Notamacropus eugenii: one gene and its partners. Each later gene encodes a partner of the first gene's protein in a complex. Links are inferred from orthologs where the notes say so. Each region holds a gene or a part of one and is shown in the gene's direction. Other genes may lie near its edges. The genes, in order: PLXNB1, SEMA4D and ARHGEF12.

Region 1 (7,553 bases):
TTCAAATGCACAGAGGTTCAATGGAATGTCTTCCTGAGCATCATAGGATCATAGATTTAGATCTGGAAAGCACTTTAGAGTTCACCCAGTTTGGCTGAGAAGGAGAAACGTCACATTAGTCTAGAAAGATAGATGGGAGGCCGACGGTGAAAGAAAGGCTTTAAAGGCTCAATAGAAGAGTTTGTATTTTACCCTCAAGGCAATGGGGACCCATTGAAGCTTCTTGAAGAGAGGAGTGGTAACGGGTCAGAGTGGATAGACAGGGAATGGGAACAGCTTTCCAAAGTTTCTTTGGAAGTGATGGTGGGAGTGTGGGACTGCTTTATATTTTTGTATTTGTTCCTAGCTTATACATTTTCTGTGGTGTGAGAAACAAAGGCCATCCCATACCCAATATCCATATTATACACTAAGTATCTCTACAGAACTCGAGGACTTTGCTACCTACTTTTAGGGAAACCTAGACATTAGCCATGCCGTGATTACGGTGTAAGATTTTCCTGGAGAACTCCAGGTAGAAGCAATGAGCTGGAGAGAGACAAAGACCCTCATGGTGTCAGGTCCCCTCCATGTGAGATCAGAGTCCTTGGGCCCTGGGTCATGGATGACAAACACAGATTGGCTTACCTTAATTGGGGGAAATGAAGCTAGGGTGAGTGTGGAACAGGATTTCTTCTTAACTCAATAGAGGATGTCTAGCATCATGCAAGGATGTGAATATATTCTATTAAGTATAATACATTACCCCCGCCCATGCTACCTTCCAGCCAAACTGGCTGACATTCTTTGTCAGCAAGCCTTTATGCTTTTTGCATATGCCTAGAATACACTGCTGCCTCATTTCAACTCTCCAAACAAGATAGTTGTACCCTTGTGCCTCGAATACTGTCTGGCATGTAGAGGGCATTTAAGAAATACTTAATGATTATCAGTTTGGCAGTTGTGTGCAGAATTGGAGAGAGGGGAGAGGATGAAGGCAGGGAAACCAATTAAGAAGCAAACAGTGATGAAGGCTTGAGCTAGGGTATAGAGAGAAGGAAGGGAATTCTAGAGACGTGGAGGAAGAAACAAGATTTGGTAACATTGTATGGGACAGGAAAAGAAAATGTGAAGAGTTGAGATAGTTGTAAACCTGAATGACAGAATCCTGAGAATCAAAAGCTTGTATTCCAGAAATTAGTGCCTAGTACACAACAGGAGCTTAATAAATGTTTATTAACTGACTGACAACTGGGAGCTTGGGAACAGCCAATGTGGTTGATCAATCTGTCAGTCTCTGAAGGGGACTAGAATGGACCCTGACATGGTAGGGATGCTAGACAGGCATTGCTTAGACTAAGGGACAAAGACTCAGGTCCTTATCTTTCACCTCTAGAGCATCATAGTGCAGTGAAACGTGGAGGTGTTAGAATGACTGATGCCCACACATGCTTTCCCTCTTTGCCAGGCTGGAGAATAGCAGTGCCTTTTGATTTCCTGAAGGTAGGCTTTGAGTCTTTTGCTCACCTCTGGCCAGACAGGCCCACGGAAATTCATTGGGCCAGTACAAACTAAAGGCAGAGGAGGAGGGACTGTGATGTAGGCTCAGCCCAGGACCCCCAGCTGCCTGACACCTGAGGTCCTACTCAGCTTTGCCTGGTAGGTGGGGCTTAAGAGAAAAGACACCACTGAGTAGTTCAGAGAGCTGGGGTAAGGGTTGGCTTCAGGGAGCATGGGCGGTGCCAACTCAGCAGGGAGAGTTGGGGAAGGGTGGGGCAGGCCAGCTTTGAAGGTAAATCCCTGTTCTTGCCTGGGAAGGGGCCCAAACAGGGGCAGAGTATGTTCCTGGGGCCCGCCTCTCAAGCTCCCCTTGCCTGGACAACATGTAGGCCACGCTTGGCAGCTAAGTCCTCCCTGCCCTTCTAACATTAATCAATGACTTTGCACTTTGCACTTTCCCCTTTACTGCCCCTACCTCAACTATCCCATTCATCCCCCCTTACTCATTCCCCATAAGGCTGCATGAGGAATTGAAGTCAGAGGACCTGATTTCAAATGCTAGCTCTGCTACTTATCATCCTCTCTGTACTTTGGGAAAATAACCTTTCTAGGGCTCAGTTTCCTCAACTGAAAACTAGATGACTTAAGTCTCTTCCAGCAATAACTATTATCTTATGATCTCTCCCTGTCCTCTCCCCAAACTACTTCCTCTCATTGGTCCATCTTCTGTCCCCTCCTCCCCAACCCTAAGAATGAAGCCTTCACAGAGAACTCCAGAAAATTCTAGATGTTGACAAGAACCTTGTGGTGGGGATGGTAAGAAAATGGAAATCAAAGGATTACAGATTTATGGCTGGAAAAGACCTAAATGGTCTTTTTGTTTGTTTGTTCACTGTCTCTTCATTCATTTCCCATCCTCTTAAAGTGATTCCACCACAAGAATTTATTCTGGCTTCTCTTCTCTCCTCTCCACATTGTCTCTTGGCATTCTCATTCACTGCTATGGTTGCCATGACTGATTCTATGATCAGCCCTCAAATCTCCAGCACTGATTCTTCTGAGCTCCAGACCTACATCTCCAGCTGCCTATGGGGCATATGACACCTGCAATTTGGAGGTTCCACTTACTGTCTTAAGCCTTTAAATCTCTGACTTCATCATTTCTGCGGCTGATACCACATGGTTCATCCTGTGTCCCATGTTTGAAAATGTAAGGTTATCTTGGACTCTTCCCCTATCCAAATGCTTATCAAGTTCTATTGATTCCCCTTCAGTAACATCTCTCAAATCCTTACCCTTCTGTCCCAAATGACTCTACCACAGCACAAACTCTCATTACTAATTCCTTATCTCCACCCCCCCAAGCTATTCCAATAGCTGAACAGGTCTTTCCCCTTCCAGTCCAACCTTACACTACTGCCAGATTACATTTTCTAATAAATAAATCGTCTTATTACTTCTTCAGAAATTTTTGGCTACTTTTTATTGCCCTTGGTTTGACATTTAGGGTTTTCACATCTGGCACCACTTTCACCTTTCCATCTCACACTAATTCTCACCTTTTATGTCTACTGAGCTCCGGTCAAATTGGACAATGCTGTTCTCCAACTCAAAATGTCCCACTTCCCTCTAGTAACTCAGCTAGTATTATCATAGACAGATTTCACATATTCCTATGTGCACTCTCTCATGGACTTTTACATTATTTGGCTTTGTGTGACTTTGTGTCATATCCTCCATTGTATAGTGAACTGTGAATGCAGAGACTGTGACATTTAAACTAAGTGTTCTTTCTCCCACAGCCTAGTCCAATGCTTTCCCAGGGCTTAATGTTTAATTGTAGGAGGAGAGAGTGGGGAAGCTTCATGGGGGATGAGGAAGTTGGGAGGGAGGGGAGAAGAGGGGAAAGGCAGTGGAAGGGGAAAATGGTAGAGAAGGAAGGGCAGCCCCAGGTCGGACCATGTCAATCCCCTATTCAAAAGTCTTCAATGCGTCTCTATTGGCTTTTGGAGAAAATGCAGACTCCTCAGCCCGGCATTTAAAGCCACTAACTTGGCTTCCACCTACATTTCCAAATATTGCACCTTGGTCCCATCCACGTGAATAAAATGAGTTTTCTTGAAGTTCTGGGAACTGGGTATGCTATCTCTCTTCTCTGTTCATAGATTTAGACTCAGGAAGGGTCTTTCGAGATCAACTTCACCTCTTCATTCAAGAGATGTTAAATGGCTTGTCCAAGGTCACACAGTAGAGTCGTACTTTGTCGGTCTTCCGACCCCACAAACAGCCTCCCTTTTCACTTGACCATTTTGCCGCGTTTGCACTGGCTGTCCGCCCCTCAATTTCTGGAATACATTCCTTCCTTACTTCTACCTTATAGGACCCCAAGATTTCTTTAAGTCAGAGTTCAGGTGTTCTGTCCACTCCCAACTCCCTAGTCGAGCTTACTTGGTATTTACTAATATGTCCACTTGTGGGTCGTCCTCCAAGAACGGGAGCAATCCTTAGGGATGCCTTTCTTTCTTTCCTTCCTTTTCTTAGGGATTTCTTTCTTTTTTCCTTCTTTCCTTCCTTCCTTCCTTCCTTCCTTCCTTCCTTCCTTCCTTCCTTCCTTCCTTCCTTCCTTCCTTCCTTTCTCTCTCTCTCTCTCTCTCTCTTTCTCTCTCTCTCTCTCTCTCTCTCTCTCTCTCTCTCTCTCCTCTCTCTCTCCTTCCATCCTTCCTAATCTGGAGGAGAAAGTGGAGAGGAAGGAAGGGTAGAAAGAGAAGGGGGAAGGCAAAGGACAAGCAGGTGAGGGTTCTGGTGGAGAAAACGCGGTGCCCCTCTGTGCTGCCCTCCCTGCTTCATCCTGCAGCCCTTCTCGGCCTGCGGGCTGGCTGGGGGTGGGGGTGTCTCTGTTCCTGGGCAGCCGGGGTCTGGAGAGAGGGAGGAAAGGAAGGCGCAGAGCCCGGGGGAGGACGCGGCTTTGTCTCCATTGTTTCTGGAGGTGAATGCGCCGGGCCGTGGGGGATGGGCGGGCGCAGTTTTCCGCCCCTCGGTCTCCGGGTAACAGCTGTGGCTTCGCCGGATCCACCTCCGGGGGCGGGGGTAGGGGAGGCCCGCGCCGCTCTGGGGCTCGGCTCAGCCCAGCTCAGCGCCGCGCCGCGCAGCGCCACTCGGCTCGGCGCGGCCCCGCGCAGCAGAGGGTTCGAGCGCGGTGCAACTGTGTGCGGTGAGACGGTGTGCGGTGCAACGGTGGGAGCGCCTCCCTCCCTCCCTGTCCCAGCAGCGGGGCCCGAGTGGTGAGTCCGTGCGTCCCGGGGGGCGGCGAGGAATCCGAGCACCCCGGCCAGACTCCCCGAGTCCCCGGAGGTGGAGAGCCGGCATCCGTAAGGATGGCTTGGGGAACACTTACGTGGACCGCTTGGGGCTTTCTGTTGTGTGGATCGGCCACCTGGAAGGGAGAGCTCTTGATCTGGGGCCTGGGGCTGGGCAGGGGGCTATTTCATTGTGGGCATTTTGGACCGAACTTCTCCGGTGGAAGAAAACTTCAGGGTGGTTTTGATTGGGAGAGGCGGGAGGCGGGATCGACTCCCCCTGAACTGGAGCTGAGTGCCCCCTCCCTCCACCCCTGGGCAGCCCCTCCTCTCCCCCACCTCCATCCTCACCAGCCAACAGCCTTTCCCTCCCCGCCAGGACCAGATGACCAGAGAGGGGGTCTTTCCTTCTTGGACCCTGGGGGCGGGATGCCTGTACTGAGGAAGACGGGAGGTACACCACACCTCGGAAGGTGGAATATGTGGGAGAGGTTCGGGGCTCCTGCACCTTGCCTAGATCCAAGAAGGATTGGGAGAGTGGGTCGTAACTCTACCTTTCCCATCCCAGTAAATTCAAACGCTCCCTGGATTGCGACCCCCCCCCCCCCTTCTTCCATGCACACCTTAATTGTGGCCCTCGTCCCTCCCTCAGAACACACCCTAAATCGCTACCGCTCCTTCTGTACATATAGAGTGGATTTGGATTTTGACACTCCTCTAATGTGGGCTTCCTTAATGTGACCACCCTCCCCTTCAGTACACACACCCTGGAGAGTGACAGTCTTCCGTCAGACTGGATTGTGTCACCTAAACCACCAAAAGGCATATCCTGAATTACGACCCTCCCTTTTCGCCTCATACATAATCTAAATTGAGACCTCCCTCTCCTCAGCCCTCTAAATGCTCAAATCAAAGGGTAACCCGCTCACATTTTGGGGTTAATGAGTAACTGGCCAGCTCAGAGATGGGAAGGAAGCAGTCTCCCCGGCCATTCCAGTGAAAGCTGGTTTCTCCTGATTATGGCACCCAGGGAGCCAGCCAGGTGGTGGGCACCTCATTGGGTACAAGGTGGGGGGAGGGGCCGAAGGGGCAGGGATCAAGACAGGGTCTGGGCCTTTGAAGAAAGGGGAGGGGTTGTTCCCTTGCTAAGAGGAAGCCTCTCTGCACCGCTATCTCAGCCTTTCACCTCTTGTCTCCTGGAAGTGGATAGGAGGGCTAAACCTGGAGTGGGGAGGGGGTGTATATTTGGGGGCCGTAGCTCTTGGGCATCTCCTTAACTGGTGGGTGAAGAAATCGTACTCCCCCTGGTGGATGAAATGGAGAGATGGCCTGGAAAAAGTGGGGAGCCCTAGAGTGGCATAATCTGGTGCCAATTTTGACATTGTTGGAGGAGGGATTTTCTAGCTAACATGTTGGGGGGAAGGAATGGTATACTCGTGGGCCCAACTGGAATGTGGTAGGCTCTGAGTGTTAGGGTGCAAGGGGTCGGTAGGGTGCAGAGGCCCATTTGGAGGCAATAGAAGCTTTGAAGAAAGTTTTGGGAGAATGAAGGACTTGCACTGTCTCATTTGTGTACAAATCTCAATAACACATTCTGGTTCATGGTCTCTAATTAGTAAAGATGTTTCTGAAGCCACCCAGATTCTCCAGTTGATCTTCACCCTTCTCCCTGTCCCTTCCCTTGACCTCTGTGTTGTCCTTCCCCCTTTCTCCTCTGTTACTATGCTTGGCACAAACTAAGCACTTAATAAATGCCTTTTCATTTTCATTCAATCTTCCCTGACCCTCTCCATTTTATTTTCCTTGTCCTTCAGTCTTTCCCTCTCTGTCTGCATGACTCTTCTTGCTTGACTCTGGCTTTTGTCCATAATGGGGAAAGGTATATAGGGTCCTGGGAGGAAGCTGATGATAGAGAACAGAATAGGAGCAGTTCTGGCCTCTCCAGCCCCCTTCCCCTAGAGTCACTCCATCCATGCAGACAGCTCCTGGGAATCCCTTGAGAGGGGAAAAGAGAACTGATTGGCTCTTCAGGGTCAGTAGAAGAAAGGAGGGAGGAATATAGATGATGGGAGCAGCTCTGGACCTACCCTGCTCAGGAACCCCTTTTGCCTCCCGATTCCATTGGCCCTCTGGCCCCATATCCCCCCAGTTCAGGCCTTTCAGTTCCCACTGTGGGATAGGACATGAGTCCTTGGAGGAAGCTCCTGTCTGTTCCTTGAACTGGGCAGCTATGGCAGTCGGCACCCTCAGAACATTTCTGGATGCAGGGTGATTATCTTCTGCTGTGTGTTATATTATTATGGTTTATATGGGCATCTGCCTCCACTCCCTCCAACAAACACACTCCCTATCTGCTCCAGATGCCTGTGATATCTGTTTGATCAGCCTTTTGGAGTTCTCATCTGCTTCCTACTTGGAGAGGGGGGTCGGAGAGAGAGAGCTTGGAATTCAAGACTACAGGGTGGGAGAAGGTGCTAGAGAGAAGAGCAGCTGAGTTGGAGGGGGAGGGGATTCTCTGACTTTAGGTTCATCCAAATACCCTTCCCCAGTTTCAGCCCCATTAACTAGTCTTTAGGGAAAGCCCCATCTATGTCTTTTGTTAGGGAGAAGTACACTTGAGCTTGAGGGACCTTCTGAGCTTGTCTGTTACCAGGTCTGTGCCATAGGTACCCTGCAGTCTGGGGGTTTGGGGGGGGTGGGGCTCTGCCAAGGTCTCTCCCAAGGCTGCTGTCCTCCGAGATTGAAGTGAAGGCGGTTGGAATCTAATGCCTTGATTTA
Region 2 (7,766 bases), on another chromosome or scaffold:
TAAAACATTTTGCAGACCTTAAAGCACTATATAAATTGTAACTAGCATCATCATCATCATCATCATCAATGTTTCCTTGTGTTTGCTATTTTTTTCATCTTACTTTCTGAATTTGAACTTTGTGATGGGGCAAGTTCTGTGCACTTCTGGAAAATGTGGTAAAGCTTTCTATGGTACTTATCTGTATTATCTGGTGTCTGGATAATAAATGTTGTATTTTTCAGGGCAACGATTGAGGTTTGTAGGTGTACGTGAGGCAGTCTAGCCCTACGGGTAGTAATGATCTTTACTCTCCTGGTCATAGTCCCAAAGGCTATAATTAAACCCATGAGAAACTGATGAATTCATCAAATAAAAATGTAGAAAGAAAATAGCCCAGAACAAGGGCTTGGGAAAAAACCCAAAATCAGAAGGGTTGGTATGATGAAGCAAAGGAGATGAAGGAGTGGTCAGAAGGGTAGAAGGTGAACCAAGAAAACACAGTATTACAACAAAGAGTATAGAAATTAAATATTTAGTAGCAGAGGGAGTTGAATAATGCCAAATGATATTGAAAGATCAACAAAGATGGAGCTCAAAGAAGACCATCGGATATGTATTAATTAGAGCTCATTAGTAACTTTCAAGAGATAAATTCACTTGAGTGAGAAGTCAAGGATAAAGAGAAAGTTGAGAACCTAAGTGACTGGAAGGATAGCGGTGCCCTCCATAGTAATAGGGAAGTTTGGAAAAGAGTGAGTTTGGGGGAAAAAATGACATAATTGCAACATATTTGTGTGTATGATACTCACTATTCCTCACTGACAATGAAAAGTGTATATGTGTGAGAAAGGGGTGGGACTTCCTCATTCACTGCCCAAGAGTGCAGAGTAGGCTAATGTAGTCCAGAGCATCTCAAGGTGGGGATACAGCAGTTGGAGATGTAATGGCTATGGAAATCTGCCTGTTCAACTACTACAGGTGTCTGAATTGGGATAGGTTAGAACAGCTTTGAAAGATGGAAGCACTATGTATCCACTGAAAACCATCTGTGAGAGGGGTTGTAATGGGCAAGTGGTCAAGGGGTAGCAGTTATATCAGAAATAAATTCATATTAAGCTATGAGGAAGGGGAAGGGAGAGATATAGGATGTAGCTCATCTTCTCACACTTTTATTGGTTAATCACCCACCCCACTTCAGTTTAAGTTTCACTCTGAGGTATCCCACCCCTACTTTGGAAAGTACTTCTCTAAATTAGGAAATATTTTGTTTGTTCTACCATGAGAACATTTTTGGGGGAGAGGGGGTGATACATATTCAAACTCCATAGTTCTTTGCTCAGCATTTTCCATCATGAGTCTTTTGGAATTGTACCATGACATCATATATAGCTAATCATTTGCCTCTTATTTTCCTTGAAATTCTTTGGCCTCTCTTCCCTTCTATTAATGCCTAGTTGCTGGAAGATGATCCTGCTAGGATCTAGGGGTGGGAAACTTACAGCCTCAAGGCCACATGTGGCCTTTGAGGTCCTTGGATATGGCCTTTTGACTAAATCCAGGTTTTACAGAACAAATCCTTTTACTAAGCGTTTGAAGATTATAGAGGTTGGCTAGCCCAGGGTCTCCTTTGAAGTTATTCTCTATCAAGTATGTATTTGTTTGTCCCATTTTCTTCAGTCACAAACCCCCCCTTTTTTTACCCTTGTCTTGTGGTCCTGTGTTGTGCTATTTATGCTGTGTCTTCTACATAGACCACACTCCTTTCCCCATCCTTCTCCTTTTCCTTCAAGAGGTTAGCAAATCAGTCTCTTGTGGTACAAGGGTGGATTCAGACTGAGTCATAGATATGGAGGGATTCTCAGGTTCCTTGAGCTCAGGGTAGGTTGTGAGATTTCTAATGCTGAACAAAACCTCCCAAAATGTCCCATGAGAAATTCCTTCAGCATTGATAAGCAATTATTCCAGAAAAGAAGAAAGCAAATCCAAATCACCAAAATCTGCAGTAAGAAATGAGAAATGACAATAAGGCAAAAGAATATGGACAATGACCAAACTTCACCATTTACAACTCTATGCTAATAAATTTGAGAAACTGAAAGGAATGACAATTGCTTTCATTCCATCAATGATTACATATAAAATAACTAATCTAACAAAACAAGAAATGGACATCCTAATTAGACAAAACTCAAAAGGAGAAGTCTAAGAGTACTTTTAATGAACTGCCTTACAAAAATCCATCAGGAAGAATTGTTAAGTGCCTGGTAATATAGCAGAGTCACAAACTTAGGAAACAAAGGGTAGGGTAGGGAAGAAATGATGCACCAGATATAGTATAAAAATTGAAAAATAAAATATGGAAACAAACTTCAAGGTAAAAACCTCATGAAATCACATTATATAATGTAAATGTATAGAGGTTTCATTCAGCATTAGAAATCTCACAACCTGATCCCACTGCCTCCTGATGCTGGGTTCCACACCCACTTCTACTAAATTACCCCTCTACACTTCTAGGCTAAGTGCTCCCCTACCCACCCACAAGTTTTGGCAATGTCCCTTGTTCCTGGAACCAAACACTACCTCTTTGTAGTATAACAAGTACTACCACTAACACCCTGCTAAGAGGGCTGCCACGGGTGTTGGCACTGCTGGCCTGCAAAAGTTACCACCCCGCTCTATCATCTCCCAATTTTGGATTCTAGCAGTACCTCTCAATGTCTCCCTAAAAGGGGATGCCCTCCTCTTCCAAGTAAGTGCTGCTGCTGATACCTATTCTGGAACCTACATTGGGGTTCACTCTACAGGTGTCCCTTACCCACCTATAAGAGTTATAAGATGGAAAATTACAGTTCACAAGAGAGTCAAAGTCAGTTCTCCTTTTAAACTTTCTAAACTGATACAGTCCCATCTAGTCTTCAGTAAATTAATTGGGGTGATTATGGCACATTTGTCCTTATCTTTCAATTCCTGAAAGGTCTCTGGGTCGCTGAGGAGGATTGAATATCGTCTTTTTTAAGTGCCTTCTCAGTGACTTTTAACAGTCTCATGTAGCACAGCTAGATCAGCTTAGAAAGAGCAGGGTAGATAGCAATGTGGGCTCCATGAGTGTGGGCAATCGCTGGTCCAGTATAACCTGTTGATGACCTTATTCTGGAACTGATTGGAGGAGAGGATACTTCCACATTGCTGCCAGTGTACCATATGGTCATTAAGGATGTAGCACAGAAAACTTAGAAGGAAACTGGGAGAACGCTGAGGGGTTGAGAGGTTGGAAGTCACGGTGTGGACAAAAATAAGTTTTGTACGGGAAGGCAGAGGGAGAGGGGGGAAACAAATAGACAGGAATTGGAGGAGAAAGAAAATTTGTGAGTCAGATACTGAACTCTTTGAGGAAGGAAGAATGACCTAGTAAATATAAATTATCATGATGTTGCTTTTGCATTTTATACATTTTTTTGAGGTAGATTGAAGTTTATTGGAGAAACTTGAATGTACAGGTGCACAATCTTTTTTTTCAAATTACATTTTGAAATTGGAAAGAAATTTAGTAGCTGTCCTTATGCTCTTTTGACTATTTTATTTTCAGCTGGTTGTTTGCAGACTATGTATCAATCCTGCTGTATTTATCTTTAAGCCATAGTAGGAGGCTTTATTTTAGGTGATTTAAAAAAATACATTCGGAGTTTTCTCTCCCTTAAGCTCATTTTTAGCTTTTCAAGGTCTTTTAATGTGGCCAATGACCAGGGCCTTTCGTGTTCTTTAAATATGGTCAAATCTTTGACCTTTTTTTGCCCCTCCCTGGTTGTGGGGATAACGGTTGTGGTCTGTGGTGTCTAAAAGCAAGATAAGCATTAGTAATTGTCAAAAGATCTTATACACTTTCAATGTATCATTTTGTACTACAGTTGCTGTTTTTGTATCACATACTCTGTAAATTCCCTGAAGCAGACAATTAGGTAAACTTTGTATCTCTCCTCTGGAAAAATAAAAAGAACAAATTGAAATTTTCTTGCCCTAGTTGGGAATTATTGAGTGTTTGCCTTCAAGTGGTTATAGGATAGGATTATGTGGGTGTTGAAGAAGCTGTAAAGGCCATTTAAGGCTCTGAGAAGAGGTAAACTAAATCAATTTAGAGTATAGATTGCCCCAAAGTACAATCATGGGAGGGGAGAGGGAATCAAAGATTAGGGCATAGTAATTGGGGAATGATGTTGAAGAAGACAGTAGAAAAAACACCTTCCAGCTCCAGTCCTGATATTTTGAAGGTAAAGTTAAGGCATAAGATGCTGGTTCTCTACACTATCACCCAGCAATACCAGTTGCATTTGAAAATGTAGTGCTTACTACACACAAACTAGTCCAAAAGAAAAAACTAGTCTCTTGACAAAGAGACTAGTTTTCCTCTTCATCGTGTGTGCACCCTGGGTATTTACTTTTTTTAAAAGCTGAACTTTTATTAAATACTTGGTCATAAAGATCACTATTGATTAATCATAAAATTTTAATTTGAATCTAAAAGATGACAAATTTAGTTTTACAAATCAGCTAATTTCTAGTTAAAAACACAAACTTGAAAAAAGACATAAAACACCATTTTCAGAAGACATTAAAGTGAGTCTAGAGATGCCCACCAACACATTTTGTACGTGTGTGTGTACGCGCGCGCGCAATGCTCCCGCTCCCACCCTCCAGTAGCTCTGATCGAAGCATCATTCTACTCCTCCCCTTTCCCCTGGAGCTGTTCAGCGCTAGGCAGTCTGGTTCTGGCTGGAGCTGCCGCTGCACGGAGCCTTCTCTACTCCACTTTCCTGCAGCGGCCATACTGGGGGCAACCCAAACTTGCTACATACTGGCACCAACTCCTCCTCCTCCTCCTCTTGCTGCTGTAACCGCCCCTATTTCTAGCTCCAGCCACACACCGAGGAATTAAACCTGCTGCAGTAGCCCTCGTCTACGTTAGGGACTGGGAGAAACTAGATGCTAAAGGGGACTGAAGGAAGGAGAGAGTGGGCAGTGTAAAAGCAAAATTGTGGCGAGGAGGAGGGCTCAGACGAAGAGGAAGTTTCTTCTTCTCAAGCAGCAGGTAACGAGCTTCCCCAGCCTTGCACGTTCCATGCTTCCCCTGCCGTCTTGCAAATGCTTGCAAAGCTGCCAGGAAACTGTCGTGTCTAGGAACGTCTGGGCTCGCGTGTTGACAGGGTGGCTTTGCGGGTCTCACCCACAGCTCCTGCAAGAACTGTTCGGTGTATTCGGGGCTCCGTGACTCATCTGTGCCGGTGCTTAGGTCTGTGGGGAGGCCTGGGGTGGGTGGAGAGGCGGCGATCCGGCTGCGCAGCGTTAGCGTTTGAGGTTGTCGGGCTATTTTTCTTTTCTTTCTTTTCTTTCTGCGGGGGGTGGGGGAGCGGCGCGTAGTTGGGAGGGAAAGGACAGGTCGAAAGGTATTTTCAGAGAAAGATTTGCTGGGGAAAGGAGGAGGAGTAGAGGACTGAGGTGTTGATTCTAGTTGTAAAATTGCAGGTGAGGAGGGGACTAGAAAAGGCTTAGCATGGGGATGTCGTTGACTGGGGGAAAAGTTGCGAATGGGGGAAAAGTGGATATTGGTGTAGATTGTGCAGAGTGAGGGGAGAGTATTTTGGTTTCTTAGGGAGGTTGTGTTTTTTACCCTTTTCGAAGAGGATGGCCTACTATCACTGCCCACCCAGAAGATTGCACTGTTTTAGCTGTTTTATTGCAAAAAAAAATCCAGCTCAGACCTGAAAAAGATTGTTGTCCCTTGTCTCCACTTCCATTCTCATATACTTATCAACCCATGTATTCCCTTTCGTTCAGGCCTCTGACTATGGGCTCCCGTGCCACACATTTTTACATAATGTACCTGCTACCCGGATGAAAGTAAAATAACCCTGTCCATTCCCCCGCTCCCCCAAAATATGAGCTCCTGGTAGGAAGCGATCATTTAGATTTTGTCTTTTATTATCCTCAGCTACTAGTACAATGTCTTGCACGTAGCATTTAATATTTGTGTGAATTGTTGAATTGGATGTCAAATCATTTGCAAGAAGGTGGTATATTTATCCAGGTTTAGCTTCTCTGGTTATCTGAACTTATTTTGGTAATGAGTTGGGGAGAAGACATAACATTTTGTATTAGTGATAACCATTGTCTTGGATTTCTTTTGGCATAAAGATTAAAGGGACTCTGGAAAAATGGAGCACTAGACTTTTTGTGGTAGAAGCTTCCTCATATTTTAGAAAATCATTCCCATTTTATATGTGATTGTCATTTTCCTTTGTGATGGATTCTTATTTGAGTTATCTGACCTACTACTTGCTTTTGCCAATACCGCTCTGAACCTGATGAGCTACTTACTCTCTCATCCTTTCTTACCTCAACTTCTTTTTCAACAGGCTAGAAAAATTGGATACAGCTATTTTGGTAACCTTGGACAAAAAACCAGTAATATATACAGATAGGTGAAGTAGGTTACATCAAAAAAAAAAATATTGCTTAATTTTTCTCCCAGTGCTGACAAGTTCAGGTTTGTTTGTTTTTTAAATTGTTATTCCAAAAAGTAAGAGAGTAGACCTTGTTTTTAACTAAGAGATGCACCTGTTGCAGCAGGCTGGCAGACTGAGCTAAACCTACTGGTGTTTTGCCAATAAAAACATGTAAAGGATATTTGAACTGGTGTGTTGTTTCCCTACTTCCCCAGCTCCTTTTGGGATTATATGTAAATCTGTAAAACTTTTGTTCATTTAAAAAGAGACCTGTCCTCTCTTATTTTAGATACTGTCAATTTTAACTATGGACCCATTAAATCAAGGTTCCTTCCTAAAACCTCAATTTAACATTAAGCTGACCTCAAGCCTATTAGTGGTAAGGTGTTCACAGGTTGGAAAAAATCGTTCTGTTCCTGAAGAATGCTGTTTGTTTATGTCTTTGGTGCAGTAAGGTTATACTTAAATTAGTTTGAACAGAATTACTGTAAGTTTTGAGACTACTAAAATACTACCAGTTATTCCTGAATTTTTTCTTAGTGAGGCACATACAGATGAGGGGGTGGTGGTGGTAAATCACCCGGAAATGTTACCATAAGCATAGATCTGTAGACCTGTTTTGAGTCATGAGCTCAGAGGATCCCTGTCTGACCATTTCCATTCTACCTTCACTGTGTATGTATGTACATGTATGTGCATATATAGCCTGCATGCACATATATGTACACACATATATACATACATATATATTTTTTGAGGGGGTGGTTTTTTCTCTATCTATTGGCCTATTTCTGCTATTTATGTGTGTCATTAATTTTTTTCTGGAATAAAGTTATAGAAGGAGAGACTATAATCATAATAGCCTTTTGATTATATAGTAGTTTTTAAAACTCATTTTACTTTGCCATTCTGTTTATAGTGATGTTGATATTTCACTGAATTTGTATTCTCATTGATGTCACACTCTTCAACTATATGCATCATGATCCATTCATGACTTTGAATACTATAAAGTATCCATCCAACCTTTTGGGAGCTTTCCATTTAGGTCTCTTGTCATTCTTTAAAAGTACATCCTGGTGCCGTCCATTCCTCCATCTTGCTCTATTACTGGCCCACTTTGTTTTCAGTTGATACATTTCTTAGATGTTATATTTTACTTTGTTTTTTGTGTATAATTCACCTTTGATATGATACTAAACCCTGTTTATCCTCATACCTACCATGTGGCTAAGAGATTATGGTGTATATTTATTTCATGATTCATAGCCACATAACAATATT
Region 3 (7,212 bases), on another chromosome or scaffold:
GGAGCTATCTCTTTACCTTTTAAACTTTTCAGGGGAGATGAGATGGCTGTTTTCAAGTATTTGAAAGGAGGAATGTGGAAGACATTAGCCTCCTTCTGTTTGGCCCAAGAGGAAAGAACCAGTAACAATGGGTGGAAATTGCAAAGAGTCAAATTTAGGTTTGATGTAAGAAAAAAAACTCAAAACAACAAACAACTTCCTAACAATCATAGCTATCCAAAAGTGGAATGGCCTCTCTCAGGAAGTAGGGGGGTTTCCTTTCATTGGAGATTTTCAAGCAAGGGCTGGGTAATCTCTTGTGGAGGGTATTATAGGGGGGATTCTTTTCCACATGACTACAGAGGTCCCTTCCAAATGAATTCTGTGATTCCATAAACTATAGGTAGCTCCAAAAACAGCCTTTACTATTCTATAGAGAATGGGGGAGGAAAGGTTGACTTTGTGGCACTTCAGTGAATAATTCCCATCTGAAATAATTTCATAATCGCTACATACCATTTCCCACTGAAGCAAAAAGCAACTGGAAAGCACTAGCCTGGGAGTCAGGAGAGCTGACTTTTAGTCTTTTTTCTGCCACTAATTCTTTGTGTGACTTTAGATAACTCACTTCATCTTTAACAACTCTTTGTTTCCCTACTTGTGAAATGAAGGGGCTAGGCTATCTCTAAGTGTTCTTCCGGTTCTAACAATATGATTTTTATTCTTTGGTCATAGATGAATGTCTAAGTTTAGAATTATGTCCAAAACAATTTCCCCAGAAAGACTGTATAGAAAAAAGGGTCTTTAAGATCCCAAAGGGAAGAGGGGAACCCATCTTTACAGTGCACCATTTGATGAATCACTGGAATGAATACATGTCTAACAAAAGGATTATGTCAAAGGAAGACACAGCTAGTCCATCATTGTGAAAGTCTGCATGATTATACAGAATACATCTGTTGAGTTTGTGGCCCAGATTTGGATCTTGACCAAGGCTTATTGAAATGGCTCGATCTCTAGCTGTTTAACAATTTTTGTTTTTTTAAATTGCAGTTTTGCTTGGACAGTTCTTAGGATGGAATTGTGTCATACTAGGATACTCCAGCAGGTGGCAATATATCCTGCTGACATCATTAGGACTGAAGTGACCTGTATCACTAAATCTGTTTCTTTCTAAAAATAAACATTACAAAATTAGCTGGCTCTTTACTGATCTCAGAAATCACGCAGCTAGAGTCATCTTAGGACTCTGTTTTAATTTTTCCCCCCTGTGTTATGTCACCCTTAGCTCAAGCACAAAGAACACTCAGGGTTATGATCCTTCTTGCTGAATGACTTTCACAGAAAGCAATGTTAAAATGAAATTATTTTAACGAAAATTATTAAATTCTGATAAATTTCAATTTTCACCAAACAGCTGAAATCATTAAACCACCAAGACTCTGAAAATGAAACAATGAACAGGGTTATTCAGAGTAGGTTAAGTATCTCAAATTGGGCAGCAATTTATTAAGTCCTTACTATGTGTAGAATCTTGTATTGAAGGAGATCTAGTTTAGACAAGATTGTACCTGTCCTTGTGGGGCTTATAACCTAGAAGGGGAATATGCCATATAGACATATAACTATAATAAAAATACATCTTAAATGGTTCAGTGGAAAGTGAGCTTCAGATCCCAGCTCTGATATTTAATACCTGTGTTACCTTGGGAAAGTCACCTTTCTTGTCTTTTCTTTTCCTCATCTCCAAAATGAGGGGATTGGAGTAGATGATCTCTGAAATCCCTTCCAGACCTAAACCTATGATCTTCTGATAATGTGTATAGGGAAATGTCAACAAATACTCTAATGGGAAGGTGGGGGATGTCATTATTGCCCCAAGGATGGGTGGATAGGTGGAAGGAGAGGGATGGCATACGGGCATCTGTATGGGTAGGAATTCAAGGGTCAGGAGGGATTTCTAGCAAAAGGTACAGCGGAGGCATTTAATACCTGGATGTGAAGACTTGTAGAACATGGATATATTGGGCTCAGTTTCCTATACTGTTGACTTTTACATCATTTATAAGTAGATAATGGTGAAATATGTGGAAAAACCTCCAGAGATAATTTTTATATAGATTCCCTTTGATCAAAATACCAGAAAATGCCTTTTCTTTTCCTTCCACAAACAGCTATGAAGGCCTGCAGAGAAAACAGCACAGCCTGCTCTCTTCCGTGACTGCAAATAACACACCCTATTTTTCAAGGCAGAAACAGGCTAAAGGTAACATACCAAGAAATTGCAAAAGATACAGCTGGAAGGGACCTGAGAGATCAGAAAACAGACCGACAAGTGAAGTGACTTGCCCAAGGTTACAGAGCTATTACATCTGGACAGGACTGCTTTTTTCTTTACTAAGTAGCCCTCCACTGGTCCCCATTATCTCCAGTCTTTAGAGGTAGGGATCGGGGGCCCAAGTGCACCGCCCCGCACAGGTGAAGAAGCTGTTGTCCCAAGTCTCTTCTCAAACCCGCTAAGAGGCTTCCCTTGGAAGGCTCTCTCGGTGCCAGGTAGTGCCGGGTAGTGCCAGGGGGAGCCGGGGCATTGACAGCTGAAACTTTCCAGGGACGTTTCTTCCTTTTCCCCTTTCTTTCGTATTAACAACGGAGCCTTGCAAGGGAGGTCTTCCCTCCCCCCCACCCCCCATCTCTCTGTCGTGGCTCGGCTTTGACAGCCGAGCTTTGCTAAGCAGGTCTCGGTGTCTGTCTCGGTGTCTGTCTCGGTGTCTCTCACACACACACACGGATACGAGGACATAACTACACAAGCAGGGATCACGGCTCTTCAGGACATCTGTGTGAAAATGAGAGGCCAAGGAGAAACCCCATTCACCGGAGGGATCATAAAGTGGGACGAACCTTGTACTTTGCGTACCCCACCAGCCTACTCAACCCCCACTTTACAGAGGAGGCTAATAGAGGCACTGAGGGACCTAGTGACTGGCTCCAAGCGCCACGGCTGAGATTTAATCCTCTGATTCCAAGATCTAGTATGACATCAAGTCTTCCCCATAACCAGCTCCCCCGGGGCCGCGTCGTGCTCCGGGGCGTTGCCTCGCTACAAGGCGCAGAGCCCTCCCGGGGCCGGGCCGCCCGGCCGCAGCACTACTTTTCCCTTCCCTCTCCAGCACGCCGCCTGCGGGGGAGGCTCCCGGAGCCGGGACGAGCGCGCGGAGGAGGCGGCAGCGGCCGATGCGCCCTGGTGTGTGTGCGCCGCGCGGAGGAATCCTGAGTGAGGCGGCTTTCAGAAGTAAGAGAGGAGGCCGGAAAATAAGCAAAAGAGAGAGAAAAGTAGGGCGGGGGAGGAGAGCGAGTGTGGGAGAACGAGCCTAGGACTGGAGAGGACAGAACCGGAACCGGAACCCGTGCGCGCGGCTGGAATCGTCGCGACCCCCCCTCCCCCTGCGCGCCGCCTTACCTTGGGCGTCCGACGCATTCCCCGCTCCCCTCCCCCTCCGTCCCGAGCGCGCTCCCGAGATAGCCCCGCGGGACCCGGCGAACCGGCCCTGAGGGGAGTCCCAGCCGCCGCCGCTCCCCGCCGGCCGAGACGGGACAGGCCCCTCTCCCGGGAGGAGCCGCGGCGGAGAGCGGAAGAAGCCCGAGCCAGCTCCCAGGGGATGGGGAGCCGCGGCCCGCGGCGCTGAGAGACCTCGGCCCCCAGCTCCTCCTCCCCCCCTTCGGACTGACTCAGCGAGTGCCCGCGCCCCTGCCCCAGCCGCCGCCGGGACAGCCCTCCCCCCGGGCGGACGGGACGGGACGGGAGGGGACCCCGCCCCGGGGGACATGGAGGAGCCGAACCCTGCGGAGCTGAGCGAGCCCGGCGCGGGACGGCCCCACGAGCGGAGGCTGCAGCAGCAGCAGAGGCGGCGGCGGCAGCAGCAGCAGCAGCAGCGACGACGACTCACCCGCAGCCCCAGATAGAGCCGACTGGGCCCCAGCCCGGCCCCGGCCCCCGAGCTCGAGAGGAGGAGGAGCGGGGCGCCCGGCCGCTGCCCGAAGCCGGGGAGCCAGCCGCCTTCGCGGAGACTCGAGGCCGCCCCCTTTGCCCGACCTCACGATTCCCGGGCGGGCCTGGAGCGTGTCCCCCCCCCCCCCCCTCCGAGACTTTCTCCCGTTCTTCCCCCTCCCCCCGGCGGATGCCCTATGACTGGCCGGAGTTTGGAGTCGGACTTGTGCGTCCCTCTCGGAGCCGCGCCGGCTGGGGGTGGGGTGGGGACTGGGATGTGGTTGTAAAATGCAAGTTGGATAGAAAGACGACCTCTCGCCAAGGGCCCCAATGAGTGGCACACAGTCTACTATCACGGACAGGTTGGTATGAAACTCCTTTTACTGGTCAGCCTTTGGTAGTGAGCGACTTCCGCCAGCTCCATCACCCCGGAGCTTGACAGGCCCGGGGCAGAGTAGGGTTCGGATCTGTACAAGTACTCCCGAGCTGCAGCCGCCCCGTCACCCAACGCATCCCTGGGGAAGGGACACAGGATGCGCACCTCCAGGTTTCAAAATGAAGCTAAGCTCTTGAGAAACGTAGGTAAAATGAAGGTTTGGGTTGTTTTGGCACTCCTGAGAGTCTTTATCACAACCCCCGCCCCCTCCCAGAAGGTCACTTTGGGTGAAGGTCAGTGCCTCACATCTGTTGGATACCGGGGCAATATCACTCACCCAGTTGTGTGGGCAGTTTGATATTGGATTTTTCCTGAGGGAGAGCTACCTTGTGGCCCGTGTGATCTTCGTCCCTTTTAAAGGGAACTTGGGACCTTGGGACTAGTGAACTTTTTTGTTGTTCAGTCGTTTCAGTCGTGTCTGACTTTTCGTGACTCCATTTGGAGTTTTCTTGGCGAAGATGCAGGAGTGGTTTGCCATTTCCTTCTCCAGCTCACTTTATGAGGATGAGGAAACTGAGGCAAACGGGGTTAAGTGGCTTGGCCAGGGTCACACAGCTAGGAAGTGTCTGTCTGAGGCCACATTTGAACTTCGGAAAATGAGGCTTCCTGACTTCAGGCTCTGCACTCTGTGAAGATCTTGGTCTTTTTTAAAATGTTGGCTTGCCTAATTTTTAATTGTTATATAGTAACTCGGCGATGAATGGAACTCTGTATCTTGTTATAGTTGGGGTAAAGCATCTGGATGGCGATTTTTTTTAAAAAGCTTTTTGGTTGTTATATTTCCATATATGTTACATTTATGTGTTAGGTATAACATTCCATATATGTTATAGTTCCATAATTTCTGATTTTTATATTTCCCAGGAAAATGTAGTTTAAAAGAATATCATAAGCAGTAAAGGAATTATGTAGGGTTTGATGTGCTAGCTAATAAATGGATTTGTCTTTATTAGCACTTAGATTAGATGGATCATTTCTGATTTAATAAGTCAGCAAATACTTTTAGGTTAGGTACTCTGAACCCTTGAGTATTAAACTTTTAAATGTGATACAGTAACATTAAGCACATTCATTTCTACAGTGTTTTTACATATATCATTTTCATTATAACTGGATTCCTTTCACACACAACAAGGTTGCATATTTGTGGTCCATATGCTAACTTCATATTTTTCTTTTTGTGTTCTGGACTAAAATTACAGTTTTTCTTCCAGAAAAAACTCTTTAACACAACTTAAGAAAGTGGAGGGAGGAACTAAAATTGAAGTTTAATAAAAGAAACATCAGCTTTAGAAAAGCCTATTTGTTTTTAAAACTCCTTTGTTGTAAGGTAGAACAATAGGACTCTGGCAAAAAGTGTTTGAATTACTTTATAAGAGTTACACCCAATTGCTGGACTCATTTGTTGATTAAAAAAGGGCTGAATTCCATTATCATACCAAAACAGCTCCTCCAGAGACAGAAGTTGCACTTCCTCTTCCTGTTGATGCTTTCCACAGTGTCACATGCACACTCACCTAAAGCATTCTACTGACATTTAAAAACTCCACATATGCTCTTTTAAAGTGTATCATTTATTTTAAAAATGAGGTTTTGTTGTCTATGAAACATTTTTTCCTGTCTCCTTTGAGCAACCACCATGCTTATCTTGTAATGCCTGAATGTACTTTTATTCCCCTTTCTTTCAGGGTGTTTTGCTTCTGAGAATCACTTTCAGGGGTGAGTGGGTAATTGTTTTCCTGGCTCATTCATTTCTTGCCATTTTTGTTGAGCCATTAGACAGAAAAACACCATTAGAAACAAATGTGTTAGTGGTTTATTTCTTCCTGTTGCTGTTTAAGTCTGTAGAAATGGAGTTTAAGACCACCAACTCATGCCATACAAGAGTCACCAGTGATCTTTTTTGAGTGTTATTACTGGAAATTATATTTGCCTATTTTCAGTTTTGGACATATATTTTCTTTGTCATCTAGTTACAGTATGTGATTCTTGTGAGCATTAAACTAAATTTTAAGTCAGGGGAGGTGTAACTTTAAACCTCTCCATTTTGGTTGTTGATGGTAAAGTTTGTTTTGGGAGTGAATTTTTTCAGATAATTCACAGCACTAACTGATTTGCAGAGTGATATGACAAAAGTCTTTAGAGATACTCTAAGTTGCAGATGACAAAATGTAGGCAATTTAACCAGGCAGTAAGGATACTTGTTTCTTAGGTGTTCTTGTTATAATTTCTTTTCTGCATACTTTTGTTCACTACTTTGTATTGATTGCAGGTGTTGTAGTTTCCCTAATTATTAGCTAAGATCATAGTGTGAATAGTTGTTCTACTATAACTGTGCACAACTTTGACTTAATCTGACTTGTAGTACTGATTTGAATGTGTTGGGGATAAAATCTGGAAGTACTGGTTTAGTGTTGCTTCTTTGCCAAGGATCCTGAAAGTCCTCAGTAGGGAATACTTCCCAGCTTCCTCTAGGCACCACCCACTGTGGCCTTCTCCTTCCCACTATTCAACTCCAAACTAGTGTTGATGGTGTAGTTGATGTCTGACAGCTAAGTTTGCAGTGACTGGCAAACTGACAGTACTGGTGGACCTCGTTATGGTCTTTTCATGATTGAAGTACTATATGGGGTATGCTTTGTAGCGTGTGCAAAATCATCCAGGCCAGCTGTGTGTGAGTCCTTGTTCTTTCATTGTAGTGCTTCTGACTGTACAGTTTGTCTGTCCCTAGCTAAAATCAGACTGGCTGGCTTTGGGCGTTGCTGTTTTGCAGTTTGTGGCAGGCGACACATGGTTGAACGAGATAAGG

Evidence for each region.
Region 2: the proteins of PLXNB1 (region 1) and SEMA4D are in contact, whole or in part, in a crystal structure (PDB 3OL2), measured with the Homo sapiens proteins. The link is inferred for Notamacropus eugenii from reciprocal best matches to the Homo sapiens genes PLXNB1 and SEMA4D. Residues at the interface, in NP_001123554.1 of Homo sapiens: Leu80, Pro81, Pro82, Glu87, Arg136, Pro137, Gly138, Asp139, Thr140, Tyr142, Gly178, Glu202, Lys205, Ala207, Gly209, Arg210, Ser212, Glu213, Arg235, Arg242, Asp359, Val360, Asn361, Ser362, Leu367, Pro368, Thr371, Tyr375, Ser379, Asp380; in NP_001358123.1 of Homo sapiens: Glu99, Lys100, Gly101, Phe158, Tyr179, Phe181, Leu182, Gly183, Ser184, Arg198, Tyr201, Ile203, Glu208, Val240, Leu264, Arg265, Thr266, Leu267, Gln268, Lys270, Thr347, Gln350, Ser351, His352, Thr353, Asp388, Gln392, Lys395.
Region 3: the proteins of PLXNB1 (region 1) and ARHGEF12 are in contact, whole or in part, in an NMR structure (PDB 2OS6), measured with the Homo sapiens proteins. The link is inferred for Notamacropus eugenii from reciprocal best matches to the Homo sapiens genes PLXNB1 and ARHGEF12. Residues at the interface, in NP_001123554.1 of Homo sapiens: Glu2129, Lys2131, Val2132, Thr2133, Asp2134, Leu2135; in NP_056128.1 of Homo sapiens: Phe82, Gly83, Leu84, Thr85, Val86, Ser87, Gly88, Asp89, His127, Val131, Lys135.

What each region holds. Positions count from the first base shown.
Region 1 is NC_092872.1:14,567,070-14,574,622, forward strand, and holds the start of PLXNB1 (plexin-B1), read left to right. Parts: upstream 1-4,473; 5' UTR 4,474-4,488; coding exon 4,489-4,760; intron 4,761-7,553. UniProt on the Homo sapiens protein: Receptor for SEMA4D. Plays a role in GABAergic synapse development. Mediates SEMA4A- and SEMA4D-dependent inhibitory synapse development. Plays a role in RHOA activation and subsequent changes of the actin cytoskeleton.
Region 2 is NC_092874.1:370,119,646-370,127,411, reverse strand, and holds the start of SEMA4D (semaphorin-4D), read left to right. Parts: upstream 1-4,729; 5' UTR 4,730-5,068; intron 5,069-5,084; exon of another isoform or gene 5,085-5,269; intron 5,270-7,766. UniProt on the Homo sapiens protein: Cell surface receptor for PLXNB1 and PLXNB2 that plays an important role in cell-cell signaling. Regulates GABAergic synapse development. Promotes the development of inhibitory synapses in a PLXNB1-dependent manner.
Region 3 is NC_092876.1:277,951,639-277,958,850, reverse strand, and holds the start of ARHGEF12 (rho guanine nucleotide exchange factor 12), read left to right. Parts: upstream 1-4,163; 5' UTR 4,164-4,297; coding exon 4,298-4,329; intron 4,330-7,212. UniProt on the Homo sapiens protein: May play a role in the regulation of RhoA GTPase by guanine nucleotide-binding alpha-12 (GNA12) and alpha-13 (GNA13). Acts as guanine nucleotide exchange factor (GEF) for RhoA GTPase and may act as GTPase-activating protein (GAP) for GNA12 and GNA13.